2 linked regions of the Canis lupus familiaris genome follow. The main gene of each other region encodes a partner of the protein of the gene in region 2 in a complex. Links are inferred from orthologs where the notes say so. Each region holds a gene or a part of one and is shown on either strand. Other genes may lie near its edges.

Region 1 (7,639 bases), about 21 Mb from region 2:
CTCCTGTTCTCATGGAGTTTCCATTCTAGAGGAAGTAGCGGACAGTATAAATGGGAACACACAATTCAGAGGATTTCAGGTATGATAAATGTAGGAAGAAAATGAAACTGGTGGTGGGAGGCGACTTGAGCAATGGTGGTCAGGAGAGGCCTCCATGAGGGTGTGACATTTGAGCTGAGATCTGGAGGATGGGAAAGGTCCAGTTCTACATGGACTTTGGGGGAAAGCATCATAGGCAGGGGGAACGGCAGGTATAAAGGTCCTGGGGTGAGAATGAACTTGACTTAAACAAGAAGCAGCAAGACGGCCAGTGTAGCTAGAGTAAGGGAAGCGAGGGAAAGAGGGGGAGGTGGGGAGGGCAGAAAGATGGGCAGGTCTTTATGTTAATACATGCTTTTATTTCTCTTGGTCAGGATGTCTGTTCTGTGGAGCTGCTGGATCTCTGCGTCGGTGAGTATTTACCTTTCTAAGAAACTACCCAACTCTTTCCCAACGTGTTGGCTCTATTCTTCATTTCTGCCGGCAGTGTGAGATTTCCAATCGCTCCACCTCGCTGCTGACACCTGAGATGGTCAGTCTTTTTAAGACAGTCATTCCAGTGGGTGTGTAGTGGTATTTCATTGTGGTTTAAATCCATATTTCCCTAATGGCTGATGATGTTGAGTGCCTTTTCACACGCTTGTTGGCCACTCAGGTCTCTTTTGTGACGCATCCGTTCAAAACGTGGGGCCATTTACAAAATTGGTTCTCTGGCTTTTCCAAGAACCTCCTCTGGCTGCTGGGGGGAGGATGGACTATAGGGGGCAGAAGTAGAAGCAGGGAGAGTAGGGAGGAGCTGGAGCTTCCACAGACAAGCTTGTCACAGGCGCAACACATTGCCTGCCTTCTGGCAACGTCAGCTGGGGCCTTGCCCAACTCTTGGGCTGCGGCCAGGAGAGATTGAGACACTTTGCGGATCTCATGGGAGGGTGAAGCAGCCCTACTTCCTGGAGCCTGGGCTGTGTGAGGGGTGGCTCCCAGTCAGCTGGGTGCCCTCCATCTCAGCCTTCTTTCACCCAATGGCTAATCCGCCCAGAGACGGTCCAGTCCGACCAGGCCAGGCCAACATTCTGTGGTCTGCACCAGTATAGTCATACCAGTTGCTAAAATATTTAAATACTTCATTTCTGGTTGGTAAAGAGCCTCTATCCCCCCCCCACAGATACCTGCATTCCCTTGGGATACCTCAGACTTCCTCACATCACGGCAATGGCAATTAAAAGGGGGGGGGGGCTCCAGGTCTCAGACCCAGCCGTTTGGTTGCAGCTCCCTGATTGGTTGGTGCACCAGTGTGCCGGCTATGAGACTGAACTTGGGGACAGTTCAGGCCTGGCTGGAGTCGTCGGGAGGACCAGATTGGGAGGCTGAGTCTGAGGGATAGAGGGAGGATTTTTATCAAGGTGAGCCCAGAACTGGAGACTTTTAGTACTAATAACAATAACAGTAATGATGAGGGTAGTGATTCATATTCACTGAGCATATACAGAGACATCACTCTGATAGACCTCACAGAATCTTCACATAAACTGGCCCTTGCTCCGCTCCCTGCCCCCCCACAGTGTCAGTGTGCTCCCTACCCCCCCAGCACCTGAGTCAGATCAAGACCCTCCAGCCTCAGAGCTTCCTCTGATCTCTGACTGCCCCGTGGCTCACTCGGCTTCAGCCACCTTGAGGCCTGGTGTGCTGCCAGTGGGGCTTCCAGGGCCTGGTCTCTCTGTGCTCACTGCAGACCCGGTGGTGGTAGTGGAGGGGTTGTTGGTTCTTTAGCAACTGGACTCGGCCAGGCCTGGGCGATGGTGGCTGTTACCAGCCTGTGCTACCTCCGAATGGGCCCTGACTCTCCTCTGGCTTCCAAATCCGCCCACCACCAAGCGCCACTCAGAGTCTGTCCCATGACCAGCATCCAGTTTCCCCTTTTCTCCCCTAAGACCAGGCCCTGGTAGCTGTGGAGTGTGACGCCTGGATGGGGGAGGAGGGCTTCCTGCCACTGGCCCATCCCCCAGTACCCTAACCTCAGGTTCCTCCTAGCCAGCCCCAGCTCAGGCTGGCAGTGGGGGGCGGCGGCACGACTAGAGGTCCCTGTCTCCTCCTGGGTGCCCTCCTTCTGTCCTCACTTCCAGCTACTTCCTCATTTGGTGGTCACCACGTTGTCTCCCATTTGCCTCACCCCAAACCCCCGATCCCTGTGTCTGTACTGGGTTTTATCAGCGTCACTGTCTATCCTTCTCTCTCTTTCTCCTTCCCAATCTTTCATCTTGGTTCTTTTTTCTTTCCCTCTAAGGATCAAATATCTGTCCTTGGGTCCTGGGTTTCATTATCACCTTTATTGGCTGTGTCACCTTGCCAAGTGTCTTTTTTTTTTTTTTTAAGACTTTGTTTATTTATTCATGAGAGACACAGAGAGAGGCAGAGACACAGGCAGAGGCAGAGTTCTGCGGAACTTGATCCCAGAACCACTGCTCAACCACTGAGCCAAAGGCAGATGCTCAACCACTGAGCCACCCCGGTGCCCCTGGGCAATGATAAGAGCAACCATCTCAGATGGGTGTGGGAGTTGAAAGAGTTAACACCGTAGGACAGAATGCCTGCAGCTTATTAGGACCCATATCCCGATGGCTCTCTGCAATATCCTATAAATATCACAAAGTTCTGATTATCAAATAATTATAGCTGGTACTTATAAAAGGCTAACGAGTGTTGGACCCTGTTCTGGAAACATTAATTCACAAGCCCCTGCAAAATAGGTACTAATTTACTCTTCCATTTTACAGGTAAGGGAGCTGAGGCCCAGAGAGGTTGAATGACTTGTTTAAGCCAGGAAGAGGAAAAGCTGGCTTCAGTCATAGCCACTGACTGTCCTGTTGCACTGATGGCTGACCCCCGGTCAGGGGTGGATTGGTGCATGTAGCCTTTTTCTTTTTACGTCCAGTCCTTAGAGGCTATAGCGTGGCCCCCACGGTGTCTCGGCCTGATTCTTCCTGGCATTATCTGTCTCCGTCCCTCCTCCTGTATTGTCCCCTCCTCCCTTCTGCCACCGCCCACCTCAGACTTCCTCCTTCACTTGGTTGGACGCTACACCACATCCCACCGGCCCCTGGACTCTGGCGTCCAGCAGCGTCGCCTGTGTCATGGGGGTCCTTGGACCTTCCAACAGGCTCCTGTTCCTGCCTCTCCTTCTGAGCATGGGTGGTGAGTTGGGGGCTTCTACAGCTGCCTCCCGAGTCCCTGGGTTCAGCTTGGGGCAGAGCGGGGTACAGGATAGAAAGAGAACCAAAAGGGAGGTGGGGGAAAGCAGATCCCTGTCCCTCAAAAGTTATGTCTGTCTCCCAGAGCCAGAGCCCCCAAGATTTGGCCTCTGGTAGAAGCAAGGGGGAAGGGACTGTCCGGGTGTCGCAATAGGACAAGTTGGGATAGAAATAGCACAGTCCAGTAGCCTTGATGCTGGCCCACAGGTCCCACCAGACACAAAATTCCACTCATTTCCTAGCTCTCAGGATCCACCCTCCCCACCTTCTGTGCCCACCCTCCTGTCACAGCCCCATGACTCAATTTACCTTCTTTTTCTCCCCTCAGGTTTCAGCCCTATCCAGGCACAGGACGGTAGGCCTAGACTCTGCAGTCTCCCTCCCTACCTCCCGAAGATCTCCCCACCTCTATCTGTTCCCCAATCTCTCTGAACCTTCCCCTGCTGACACTTCCTCCCAATTCCCAACTTCCACTGACCACCCCAAACCTTTGGGCCACATTCTCAGGATGCAACTGCCCCGTGGTGAGTCCCGGTGTGCTGGCAGGGATCGTGCTGGGGGACCTGGTGCTGACCCTCCTCATTGCCTTGGCCGTGTACTCCTTGGGCCGAATGTTTCCTCGGGGACGAGGGTCTGTGGAAGGTGAGTGGGGCTGGCGAGGGATAGCCTGGGACTTCCTGAGGGAGGAGGAAGCTCCCAAGTCACAACCATCCGAAGTGGGTGATGGAGGGGCTGATTTTGCATCAGCAAAATGGTCCCAGTTCACCACCTGAACTGTCTCTGCACTCTGCTCTACTCCCCATCCCCCAGCAGTGACCAGGAAACAGCGCATCACTGAGACAGAGTCGCCTTATCAGGTGAGAAAACCAGCTTCTCTTCCTCACATGTCCCTCCTACCCTGTAGGTGTCTGTCTTAAATACTTTCCCAGTCCCTCTAGAACCTAGACCCTAAAGCCACTTTCTGAGCAACATTGCCAACCTCAAAGATTAACGGGGCATCTGTCCAAAACGGCTTTCAATGATCAATCATGGCCTTATGCTCAGCTTACAATGTGTGAGAAAACATGGGGTTTTATGTTTGCAAGGGCACATAGAGGCCTTTGCCAGAAGGCAAGCACTGAAGTGTTCGGGACAGGATGATTTCTGGGACGAGCTCTTAAAAGAGCAGAGAACAGATTTCAGCCCCAATTCGGTAACTCTGAAGAGAGGAGTTTTAGACTTTTTGGAAGGAAGGATCCTGTATCCCTTTGAGAAGCTGATGAAAGCTAGAGACTCCTCAGAAAAACTCACACAAAAATTTACAAAACTGTGCATGTGATCGAGGGGTGGTACAAGTATCTTGAAACCCTTCTTAAGGACTACCATGCAGGTGTGCCTAGGGTGGCTCAGTCCATTAAGCATCTGGCTCTTGATTTTGGCTCACGTCGTGGTCTCAGGGTTGTGGAATGTCTGGCTCCCTGCTCAGTGGGGAGTCTGCTTGGAACTCTCTCTCTCCCTCTCCTTCTGCCCCTCCCCCTCTCCCCCTGCTTGTGCTCTCTCTCTTTCCAAAATAAATAAATCTTTTAAAAAAAAATTCTCCTCTTGCCTCCATCCTCACATGTGCATGCTCTCTCTCTCTCTCTAAAAAAGAAAAAAAAAGGGATCCCTGGGTGGCGCAGCGGTTTGGCGCCTGCCTTTGGCCCGGGGCGCGATCCTGGAGACCCGGGATCGAATCCCACGTTGGGCTCCCGGTGCATGGAGCCTGCTTCTCCCTCTGTCTATGTCTCTGCCTCTCTCTCTCTCTCTCTGTGACTATCATAAATAAAAAAAAAAAATGCCACCATGCAGACAGAGGCACCTTTCCATCTCTTGCCTCTCTGTCAGTGCCCTTCTACACTTTGGGGAGTCATGGGCTCCTGTGCGAAGCTAAGGGAAGCCAAACAGCCCCCTTCCCATAAAGATGTATACCCAGGCCAGTCATTCGTGTAGGATTTCAGGGATTCAGCTTGAGGGCTGCCTCTTGGGGCCATAGGTTTCCCCCCTCCCTGCCCCGCCAAATATGAGCCATGTTCTGTGAAGTCTCTTACTTACTTGCAGCCAACTTTGCTTTGTCTCACCTGGGGATTAAAAAGTCTCTTTGTAAAGTGTAAGCATCTTGAGTTTGGCCTTGTGAGGTCCAGGAAAATGAGGAAGCTTTTCGGTTATTGGGGGCAGTGACATGTTAGGGCAAAGCATGATTCTCATTTACTCAACCTTTGGTGGGATTTATTGAGCACCTACACTGCAACAGAGTTTACATCCTAGTTGGGGAGATAGACAAATGAACAGTTGAGATAATTTGGGGAGGTACCATGAAGAAATAAAGCTGATATGACAGTGACGACAGTGGGGGCAGGGTGTGGGTGAGGGGGGGAGAAATGTGATGACAAAATCAATAAATGCTTCTCTGAGAAAGTGACATGAGCTGCGACTTGAAGGGGGAGAAGGAACCATCCACGGGAATATCTAGGGAACCAGGGTTCCAGGCAGAGAGAACAGTATGTGCAAAGGCCCTGAGGCTGGGGCATGATGATGAGGTGGAGGAGAAAGGGAAACACTAAATGTACTTGATTAAAATCCAGATCTCTTCCGTGGCTGCGAGGTTGAAGAAGCTGCTAGGAGCCTTATAGGCCACTGGGAGAAGGCTGAATTTTGTTTTAAGTTTATTCAGTGGACCTCATCCACTAATGACTCCCACCGTGTCCCTCCATTAGGAGCTCCAAGGTCAGAGGTCAGATGTCTATAGTGACCTCAACACACAGAGGCCGTATTACAAATGAGCCTAAACCACGGCAGTCAACATCCTGATGCCTGGATCCACTCATTCCTGACACCTACCCTGCATCCTATTCCTACTTCCACCAAGATAAAGATCCACAGAGTGCCCTCTCTGAGAGGTCAGATTTCTCTCCATCACTGCCCCCAAATAAACGTGGCACATAAAAGATCTGTCGAGTCATCCCAGATCTTTCAGCTGAGGGGGGCTTGGATATGTGGGACTTGGGGCGGGGGGGGGGGGTCATTTACCCAGAAACAGATAAGTGGGAGGGAGGCTTTGGGGACCCTGGGGTTCTTTGAGGAAGAATTAGAACCAGAGGTATTTTCAATGGCTTTATTTCACCCCAAAGTGGGGAATGTGTTTCTGTGCTGCCACACACAACACAGGAAGCAGAGGGTCAGAAGTCCAAGGTCTCACTTACACGGGGGTCAGCCCCTGCCAGGCATGTTGATGTAGATTTTGTCATGTTCTGGAGGTGGGGGAGAGAAAGCATGAGGCCTGACCACCTACCACCCACCCACATCTCCACCTTCCTGGGGACCCCCTGCCTCAGGGGTTTCCTCTGGAGTTCCCCTCCAGTCACCGCCCCCAGGGTTTCCCCAGCATCTCCTCTAGGGCTTCCCTTGGGGGGCCCCTCCCTGGGGGCCCCTTCCCTAGGGACACTTCTCCCTCCAGGCCCTACCCTGTCTCTGTCCTCACCTTGGGTGGGCCTGTGGCGTGGGCAAGCACACACAAACACTGCTGCAATGATTAGCAGCGACACCACCGCATGGGCGGCCATGAGGCCTGCCAGCAGGGGCAGACAGACAGGCTCACATCCGGAACAGGAACCTGGAGGGTGGGGCCCAGGGGAGAAGGCAGTTGAGGAAGGTTCCAGACCCTCAGGGCTACACTTTGGACACTGGGAGCAGATGAAGTCCCTGGCGGGTGTGTGTGTGTGTGTGTCTGTCTGAGATTCCCCAAGGGTGACTTGGGGGATGAAAGAGGAGGTGGGTGGGGGCCCCCAGCACAGAGAGACATACGAGGTGCTTTGGGCATAGCGGGGACTCCCTACGAAGGCTAGGGGGTAGCCGAGTCCCTGGGGCTTCAATCTGGTGATGTGGGCAGTGAGATGGCGACCCAGAGAGGACCCCAGATCCTCGGGGCTCTGATTTGGTGAGAGGTGAGCTGGTGAGCTAGAGAGCCACTGGGGCTGTTCCAGGACCCTCAGGCCACCCTGTAGGGATGGAAGCAGTACCTGAAGTGCCATGGCAGAGGGCAAGGCGTGCTCATTTCTCACCTGGGGTCACCAGAGCTGCAATCACTGTGAAAAGAGAGGGAAAGTGGATTAGCAGGGGAGAGGCAGTTTCCAAAACAGGGTGCAGGGAAAAGGTGGTACCCTGAGAAGTAACCTCCGTTTGGGAGAGAGCAAATGAGAAAGAGCCCAGATGGGTAGGGGAGCTCCCAGACACACACACAGAGATAGAAAATCAGCAGTAGAGACAGAGACAGGCCTGGCAGCGAGAAGGGGAGATGAACAGGCAACTACCCCAGACTCAGCTTCTCTCCCCCAAAGAAC
Region 2 (7,635 bases):
TGGGGAACAGCTGTAGAGGGTGGGAAGGTATTGGCATAAATTAGAATTTCGCAAAAGTAAAATTTAACTCTGGCCACAGCAAAACATCCCCATGACAAGTCAGCAGAAACAGTCTTTTTCTTTTTAAGATTTTATTTCTTTATTCATGAGACATACACAGAGAGAGAGGTGGAGACACAGGCAGAGGGAGAAGCAGGCTCCATGCGGGGAGCCCGATGTGGGACTCGATCCCAGGACCTTGGGATCATGACCTGAGCTGAAGGTGGGTGCTCAACCACTGAGCCACCCAGGCATCCCAGAAACAGCCCACCCTAAGAAATTATCAGACTGACCAAATTGGAATGATGATTTATCAATTAAGGCAAACAACTGTAGTGGGAAAGCAGATGGTCACATGCTGGAAATTCCAAAGCTTTCTGTAGCCACACAGAGCATAGATAAACAGGCCATATCTAAGTTGTGGCTTTTCCCAAAACTGGGCCCTCAGCCATCCTTCCTCACTCCCCCCGACTCATCGTCCTCACCGTCCCTGGGCCTGCGCCTCCATTACCCTGCCGCTGGCCTTGTGACCCTCCTGCCAGCTCAGCCTGCACTGGGATCAACGCCTCCCATACCGTGGGCCAATCGGGGAGAAGCCCAGAACCCTCTGGCCCTGGGCCCCCTACAGTGCTCCAGCACAGCCTTGGGAGGTGGTGACCCTTCCAGGGCCCCTCAGCTCCAGGGTCCAAGCACCCCCTGTGTCAGAGGGAGGCACCCCGGGACAGGGGATACTACTCACCAGATACCAGCCATCATAAAAGCTGTCAGGGCCCCCTCTCCTGAGTAATCAGGGTGTTAACTGATACTCCCTCAATACTCACTTCCTCCTCCTACCATCAGCCTCTGGCAGCCTCCAAAAAACATTTCTGGTGGTTTCCAGAAATGGACAGATGCAGAGCGAGCCACTTCTGATTCGTTAGCCCTAATACTCTTCCCTGGACTGGTCTTGTTGGCCTCAACTAGATGTGACTGCACTTACGATGCTAATTCAACTTTTCAAGATCCAAAGGGCAAAACTTAACATAATTCATTTATAAAGACAAACAGGTTTCAAAGAATGCAAGCTAATTTGTTTTTTTGTCAGATGAAACTATAAGCTCATAGGAAACGTGCCTGCTAATGGAACACCAGAATGAATGAATGAACTTCTCCTTTCAAATCCGCTCTGTCTCCTTGTGTACTCATCTTTGCCTAGTCAAAAGCAAAACAAAAACCTGTTTTTTTTCCAAGTGAAAAAGAACCAACTTATTGAAACGCAAGGTGGAAGAGCAAGAGATGAGACACAGTTAATTCAGACAATTTAATTCCAGGCTCTTCTAAGGACTTTGCCTTTTGATTTCAGTTGCTTTAAAAGAAAAAAAAAAAAAAAAAGTTCAGTGCATGAACATTAAAAAAAGTCCTCTCCCAAGGGCTAATTTTTTCTCTACTCATTTGCACCCAAAATGATCCAGCAATGGAAGATGTTAAAACTTTGCAAATGGGGAGCAAGGGGGCAGGGTGAGGATAAAGGAAGAATTAGCTCGGATTGTAAAAAAGTGCTCTTCCATTCCTCAGGAACAGATAACACAGAGACGGCGAGCCTGCCGTGGGGGGAACAGGAAATACTACTTCTTCCAAAAACATACTGTGGGCACAAAGGATGGCAGTAACCTCCCTGCATTCTTGCTCTAAAATCATCCATCTTGGGGCCCCTGGTGGCTCAGGGGTGGAGCGTCTGCCTTTGGCCCAGGGCATGACCCTGGGGTCCTGGGATGGAGTCCCACATGCCCCTCTCTCTGTCTCTGGTGAATAAATAAATAAAATCTTAAAAAATAACATCATTTATTCTCACTTGGATCTGTATTGTGATGGTTATCATTGAAATTTCAATGAGGTCTTGCTCCCTGAAAAGGGGCAATTTGCCCATTTAATCACAGAAGGTATAGTTACTGGACAGGAGAAATGCGATTTATTTCCAAAAGTAAACAAAAGGCCCTAGGAGTCTCATATGGTTCCAAACGTCCTGATGCGTAAAACCCCTGAGAAATAAGGTTTTGAGGTAAGTTTTAGGGAACTCACTCAGTGACATCTGCCCTAAACGGACACACAGCTATTTATAGTGTGTTTATTCCACTAAATGCGACAAGTCACAGTGTCCGTGCAGACATATGAACGGGTGGGAGTATGGGAGGCCGCCCAGCATGTACCAGAGTCTCTAATACACGGCGACAGTGTGGACACGTACCTCTCTAAATTCTGAGAAATGTTTTTCTCAATGCTGAAATTTAGCTTCCCAATTTGAACTCTAAATTGTGAAAAATCCAGGATTCCAAAACATATCTTAGCACATGGGTTTTGGAAAATAATTGTGGACGTGCTATGTGCTGCATAAAGTAGATACTGTACTAGGGAGTCTTTGGTTTAAAAGCAGAGAAATTTTTTTAAAAAGGAAAATAAATAAAACTGAGAGGTCAGACTTGCGCTTAGGATATTAAATTAAATATGAGCCTAAAGAAGGTGAAAGTGAGTTATTTCTTAAATACAGATCTAACAATAAGATTATTTGTCAAGTTCTTCCCTTAGCAGAGGTTAAGACCTAAAGTATACGCCTCATTTTTTTATCCTAGCTTAAAACATTAAAAACATTCTAGTTACTAAGCCTATTTATAAAATCCTACCTATGAAAGCGCTCCACATACAGAGACTAGAAATCCATTTCTATTTTACTACAAAATCTCCTCTAAACGTAACAAAACAAAAGTATAATGGAGATGGAACAAAATGACTTGATAAAAAATTTTAATGGAGAAGATTTCTCGTTTAAAACCCCTAGTACTCTACACCTTTCTAAAGGTGTTAGCTCAAGGATAAATATATTCATGCACAATAGGGACTTTTTTTTGGGGGGGCGGGGGGGGGGGGAGAGAGCAGATCAATGAATTTAGTTCCGTGAAATTAAAATGCTGCCTTCCTAGTGGCAATGAATTTCTTCTTACTGAAAAAAAAAAAAAAAAAAGGCTTCAGATGCTAGAATCATTTCCATTCCTTCCAAGAATTCCAAGTCATCACAAGATGAACTCTTTTTTAACTAGAAAATTCCGATGTGGGGCATCTCCAACCTTTAAACTACCCACTGACAGCGCTTCCAGGGCTTAAGGAAAGAACACCTGCTGCTCAAGGGTTGCTAGGGATCAACGGAATCTTTGGTCATTCAGTCAAACGGATGAAAATAACCTGCAACACTGTCTCCAACATCAAAAGCCTCAAACCGTGACTTCTCCAGACTAGGTCTTCCTAGTTCTGGAACATTCGAATAAACCCAAAGCTGAATCGCCTCTGTACAGCTAGGTAGGCGGGCTGATGCTTTGGGAGCTATGCTGCCCAACTCCAACTGACCCGGCATCGGCATCGCACCACACTGGGCTCTCGGCGGCACTTACTGTCACTGTACCGTGAAAACGTGTCTCAACGAGCGATCCTGCTCCATTTTAGGGGTGGCCCGGGAAGTTTCTTGTTTCTACACAACTGCTCTTTCTGTAGGAAAAGGCGTGCAAGCGCTGAACCCTCCGCAGGCCCAGGAGCACTGGCACCTGGAGTCACCCACATCAACAAGGTGGAATTTCCCAGGGCAGCGATAAAATGGCCAAAGGACAAGGTGAGCCTCCTGCGCCCCGGATCCGCGCCCGCCGCCGGCACCTGCGGCTTCCGCACCCCCCCCCCGCCCGCCCCACTGGCGCCCCGCCCCGCGTGCCCGGCAGGCCCGACCCCACCGACCCCGGGAGTGCTCGGTGGAGGACCTACCCGTCCTGATTCCAGAGACTCGATCAGCCTGTCCCTCCCGAGGCCCTGAGCGCACCTGCCCCGCCGAGGGCCCCGCACAGACCCGGACTCGGGGCGGGCAGGGGGGCGACAGGCGCGTCGCCCCGCCCGCCTTCCCCTGCTCCCGGCTGCCCGGGGCTCCGCGTCCCGGCTGCCCGGCCCAGGGCGCGCGCCACACCTACCTGTGCCAGGTGAGCCGAGGGCGGGGCGCGGGGCGCGGGGCGCGGGCGCGGACGGCTCGGGGCGCAGCACGGGACCGCCCGCTGCTCCTCGCTCCTCCCGCCGCTGGAGTCTTCTCAGCCGGCCAGCGCGAGGCGCTTCCTCATTTTGGGCAACTTCCTTAACGCGCCGGGCAGGCCCCGCACTTCCTCCCGGCCGCCGCGCCCCAGCGCCGGGGGCCCGCCCCCCCCCGCCTCTCCCCGCCCGCCCGTGCGCCCCAGCGACCCCGCGCCCGCCCCAGTGCCCCCAGCGCCCCCGCGCCCCGGACCCGCCTACCCCGCCCGCCGGTGCGCCCCAGTGACCCCGCGCCCGCCCGAGTGCCCCCAGCGCCCCCGCGCCCGGGGCCCACCCACCCGCCCGCCAGCCTGCGGTGCGCCCCCGTGCCCCTGTGCTCCCAGCGCCCCGGGCCCACCCGGAGTGCCTGCAGGGACCCCACGCCGTGCCTGCTGCCCGTGCGCCCAGGACAGGCTCCGAGCGCCCCTAGCCCCCTGCGCCCTGCCTCCCAGGCCCAGAAGGCCCACCCCAGGGGTCTTCATCCACACACAAGGGGCCCTGACAGCAACAGGAACCTCTGGCCGCCTTGCCAACCTGCCACCTGGTCCTTTGAACCACTGGCAGCGCTAAAAGGGCGCGCCCATCGCGCAGGGCCCTGGCGTGGGAAGAGACTCTTGCTCACTGGGGGGCGGACTCCCTCCTGGTCACCAACCCAAGCCGCTCCTGCTGACCTGTGACCCCAAGGCCCTCTGCACCCTGCCTTTAGAGTTAGGCTCTAGGTGCACATCGGACTTCACTGCGCTCTGCTGGAAGGGCCCGGCTTGTCCCACGCCGTGTTTTCTGAGGGCTCTGGTGATTTCAAGGTTCTTGACAGTGAGCTCAACTTGCTCCCTTCAGCCCACAACCGGTTCTTATGCCTGGACCTAAATAAATTAAGTTTAATATTTACCGTAGTATTGGGGCACCTGGGTGGCTCAGTGTGGAATGTCTGCCTTTGGCTCAGGTCCTGATCCCGTATTCCTGGGATCATGTCCCCCGGGGAGCCTGCTTCTCCCTCTCTTTGCCTGTGTCTCTGCCTCTCTCATGAATAAATAAATAACATCTTTAAAAAATATATTTACTGTAGTTTTTTTTTAAATTTATTGTAGTTCTAAAAAATATTTCTAAAATGCCCTATCCCCTCTCCTCGTTTTTCTATCAGGGAGCCCTCTTTAAAATTTTCCCATAAAACAGTGCCCAGATCCTCAGATTCTTGGTAACAGGTAGCAGTAAGTGTTTTAAAAGGCTGTGCCCTGAGCCCCAAAATTCAAAGTGAAATATATAGCGTGTTAGATTATAATTGCCATGGAGAAATACGAGGTGATAGGGAGTATGGACACTCATCGCGGCCCCTCAGTCTTTCCCACCTGGACATTCTCTTCTATTCATTTTTAAGTCAAGTGAGGGATTTTTATTATGGCTCTATTTGATAAGCATTGGACTTAAATTTTGCTTCAAACAGCCAATGAAATAGCCAGCATTCTCTAAACAGAAGCTGCAAAACATGTACACAGGAGGTTTCCAGAGTGGGTAATATCATTGGAAATGGACAAATGGGATTTGTTTTGAATCTGCATGAGAAGAGCAAACCTGGTGTTAATGAAGATGATGAAGATGACGTGTTTCCCTAGGGGCAGCCAATGGCGATGAGGTTCTAGATCAGTCCCTACACAATGCCTTCCTGCACTGCTGTGTGGTCCCTCTCACCTTTGGGGCATTTAAGTGACTGAGCATGCTTATGATGATTTTGGAAAAAAAAACATAATGTTAAAGTCATTACACAAATACCTAGAAAAAAAAAACTTTCAAAAAGACAACTTCAAAATAAAAATTAAAAAAAAAAAAAGTCAATACATTTCTGCCAGCGTTTCTTCCTTCTCCCAATGGTCTTCTCCCTCCAATGGCTTTGCTGTTCACCCTTCACTCAGTAAATCTTAGCTGTCATTATTGTCTGAGTCCTGGAGCCCCCCCCCCCCCATGAAACCCTGTACTCTGATGGTCTCTGGGACTCCCCACACTGCTACTTTTTAAAGTCTCCTGTTCCTTGCAGATTCTTTTTTTTTTTTTCTTTAAGAATAGTAACTCTAGGGGTGCCTGGGTGCCTCAGTGGTGAAGCGTCTGCCTTCGGCCCACGGTGTGATCTTGGAGTCCCAGGATCAAGTCCCACATCGGGCTCCCCACAGGGAGCCTGCTTATCCCCCTGCCTGTGTCTCTGCCTCTCTCCCTGTGTCTCTCATGAATAAATAAAGAAAATCTTAAAAAAAAAAAAAAAAGAACAGTAACTCTATTTCCTGGGGTTGCTGTGTTCATTGACATCTGAAACCTCCTGTCTGTTGGCCTTGTTTATTTCTACTGGTTCTGGCTCATGGTGTCAAACTTCCTTGTAAACTTGGCTGCACTCACTGTGAGCCTCTCGCCACTTCGGAAAAACCATTCATGGACCTTCATTGAGGTCTAGGAAGAGACGTTTTCTTTCGGAGACAATTTGCCTTTGCTTTGGTCAGAAGCCTAGGGTAAAACTAATGTTTGGACAATTAAAAGTAAATTCTCAGCTTATGGTTTCTTTGGATCACCTAGGTGATAGGAATTTGGGCTGGAAATTTGGGCACAATTTTGGTCAACTTGTGGTTGCATGGTTGCAGTCTTTCAAGGATTCATCTCTTCCATTCCCTCTCTGTGCTTCGTCTCATTTTCCTTGTATCTTGGAGTCTGTGTTTCTTGTGTTCCGTGTCTTCCTCTTCCTTGGGAGTTCACTGCAACACTTTGGAGGAACACGCTCTCCCTTTTCCTGAAACTTTGAAAAGTTTCATATCTATCCAGAAGGTTCTACCCTCAAGTTCAATGGTTTGGATGGTAAAGAATTCTAGCTCAGAAACCATTTCTCTTTACAATTTTTAAGTCAAGATTCTCTGGGTTTCTTGCTTTAAGTGTTGATGTCAAGAAATCCAAACCATTCTGATTCTTTGTCTTTTCATTCTGATTCTTCATCCTTGTGAGCATAGTGACTGCTTCGCTCCTTTCACCTCCCTGGCTTGGCAGTTTTTCCAGAACTTCTTTTTGTTCTCCTCCTCTGAGGGTGATGGTTCCTTGATCCTCACGGCAGATCCTTTCTCTTTCAGGACCACAGTTTGAAGGTTTCATATTCCTTTCATGCCTAATTTTCTGTAACTTTTGAGCATAGGGGGATGGGCTTAGCTGAAGGTGAGGTGCATCAGTGAGAGGTCCCCCTACCTCCCTACCCCCACCCACAGGACACTGGGTTGGATGCAGAAAGTCTGCTTCTCGCTGGCAGAAGGAAAGGGAAGAAGAGCCTAGTCCTTTGGAGGCACCATTGGGCATCAGGTCAGTTCCCCAATTCTGTGGGCCGTGGCATCTTCACACTTGTGACAAAGCTGGGCTGGAGTGCTAACACTTCTCTTTCTCACCTCATCCGCACCACGGCCATTTTCGCTACCCCGTAGTCAACAACTCCAAAAACTAAGAATATGTAATGACTCCTTTCAATCCTATCAAGATTTGAGTGAGAGCTGTCAGGATTTTGTAGAC

What was found.
Region 1: the proteins of SYK (region 2) and TYROBP are in contact, whole or in part, in a crystal structure (PDB 7Q5W), measured with the Homo sapiens proteins. The link is inferred for Canis lupus familiaris from reciprocal best matches to the Homo sapiens genes SYK and TYROBP. Residues at the interface, in NP_001167638.1 of Homo sapiens: Arg22, Arg42, Asn46, His62, His63, Tyr64, Thr65, Ile76, Ala77, Gly78, Gly79, His92, Asp97, Gly98, Leu99, Arg175, Arg195, Arg197, Lys212, Leu214, His215, Tyr216, Arg217, Ile228, Pro229, Glu230, Gly231, Lys232, His243, Lys247; in NP_003323.1 of Homo sapiens: Pro90, Tyr91, Gln92, Glu93, Leu94, Gln95, Arg98, Ser99, Asp100, Val101, Tyr102, Ser103, Asp104, Leu105, Asn106.

The regions. Positions count from the first base shown.
Region 1 is NC_049222.1:117,600,237-117,607,875, forward strand, and holds TYROBP (TYRO protein tyrosine kinase-binding protein precursor), read left to right. Parts: upstream 1-3,084; 5' UTR 3,085-3,167; coding exon 3,168-3,228; intron 3,229-3,612; coding exon 3,613-3,639; intron 3,640-3,791; coding exon 3,792-3,926; intron 3,927-4,094; coding exon 4,095-4,141; intron 4,142-6,016; coding exon 6,017-6,082; 3' UTR 6,083-6,249; downstream 6,250-7,639. Other genes in the region: HCST (hematopoietic cell signal transducer), read right to left, coding at 6,510-6,550, 6,781-6,912, 7,361-7,384. UniProt on the Homo sapiens protein: Adapter protein which non-covalently associates with activating receptors found on the surface of a variety of immune cells to mediate signaling and cell activation following ligand binding by the receptors.
Region 2 is NC_049222.1:96,694,570-96,702,204, forward strand, and holds the start of SYK (tyrosine-protein kinase SYK), read right to left. Parts: upstream 4,142-7,635; 5' UTR 4,020-4,141; intron 3,984-4,019; exon of another isoform or gene 3,820-3,983; intron 3,667-3,819; exon of another isoform or gene 3,459-3,666; intron 1-3,458. UniProt on the Homo sapiens protein: Non-receptor tyrosine kinase which mediates signal transduction downstream of a variety of transmembrane receptors including classical immunoreceptors like the B-cell receptor (BCR).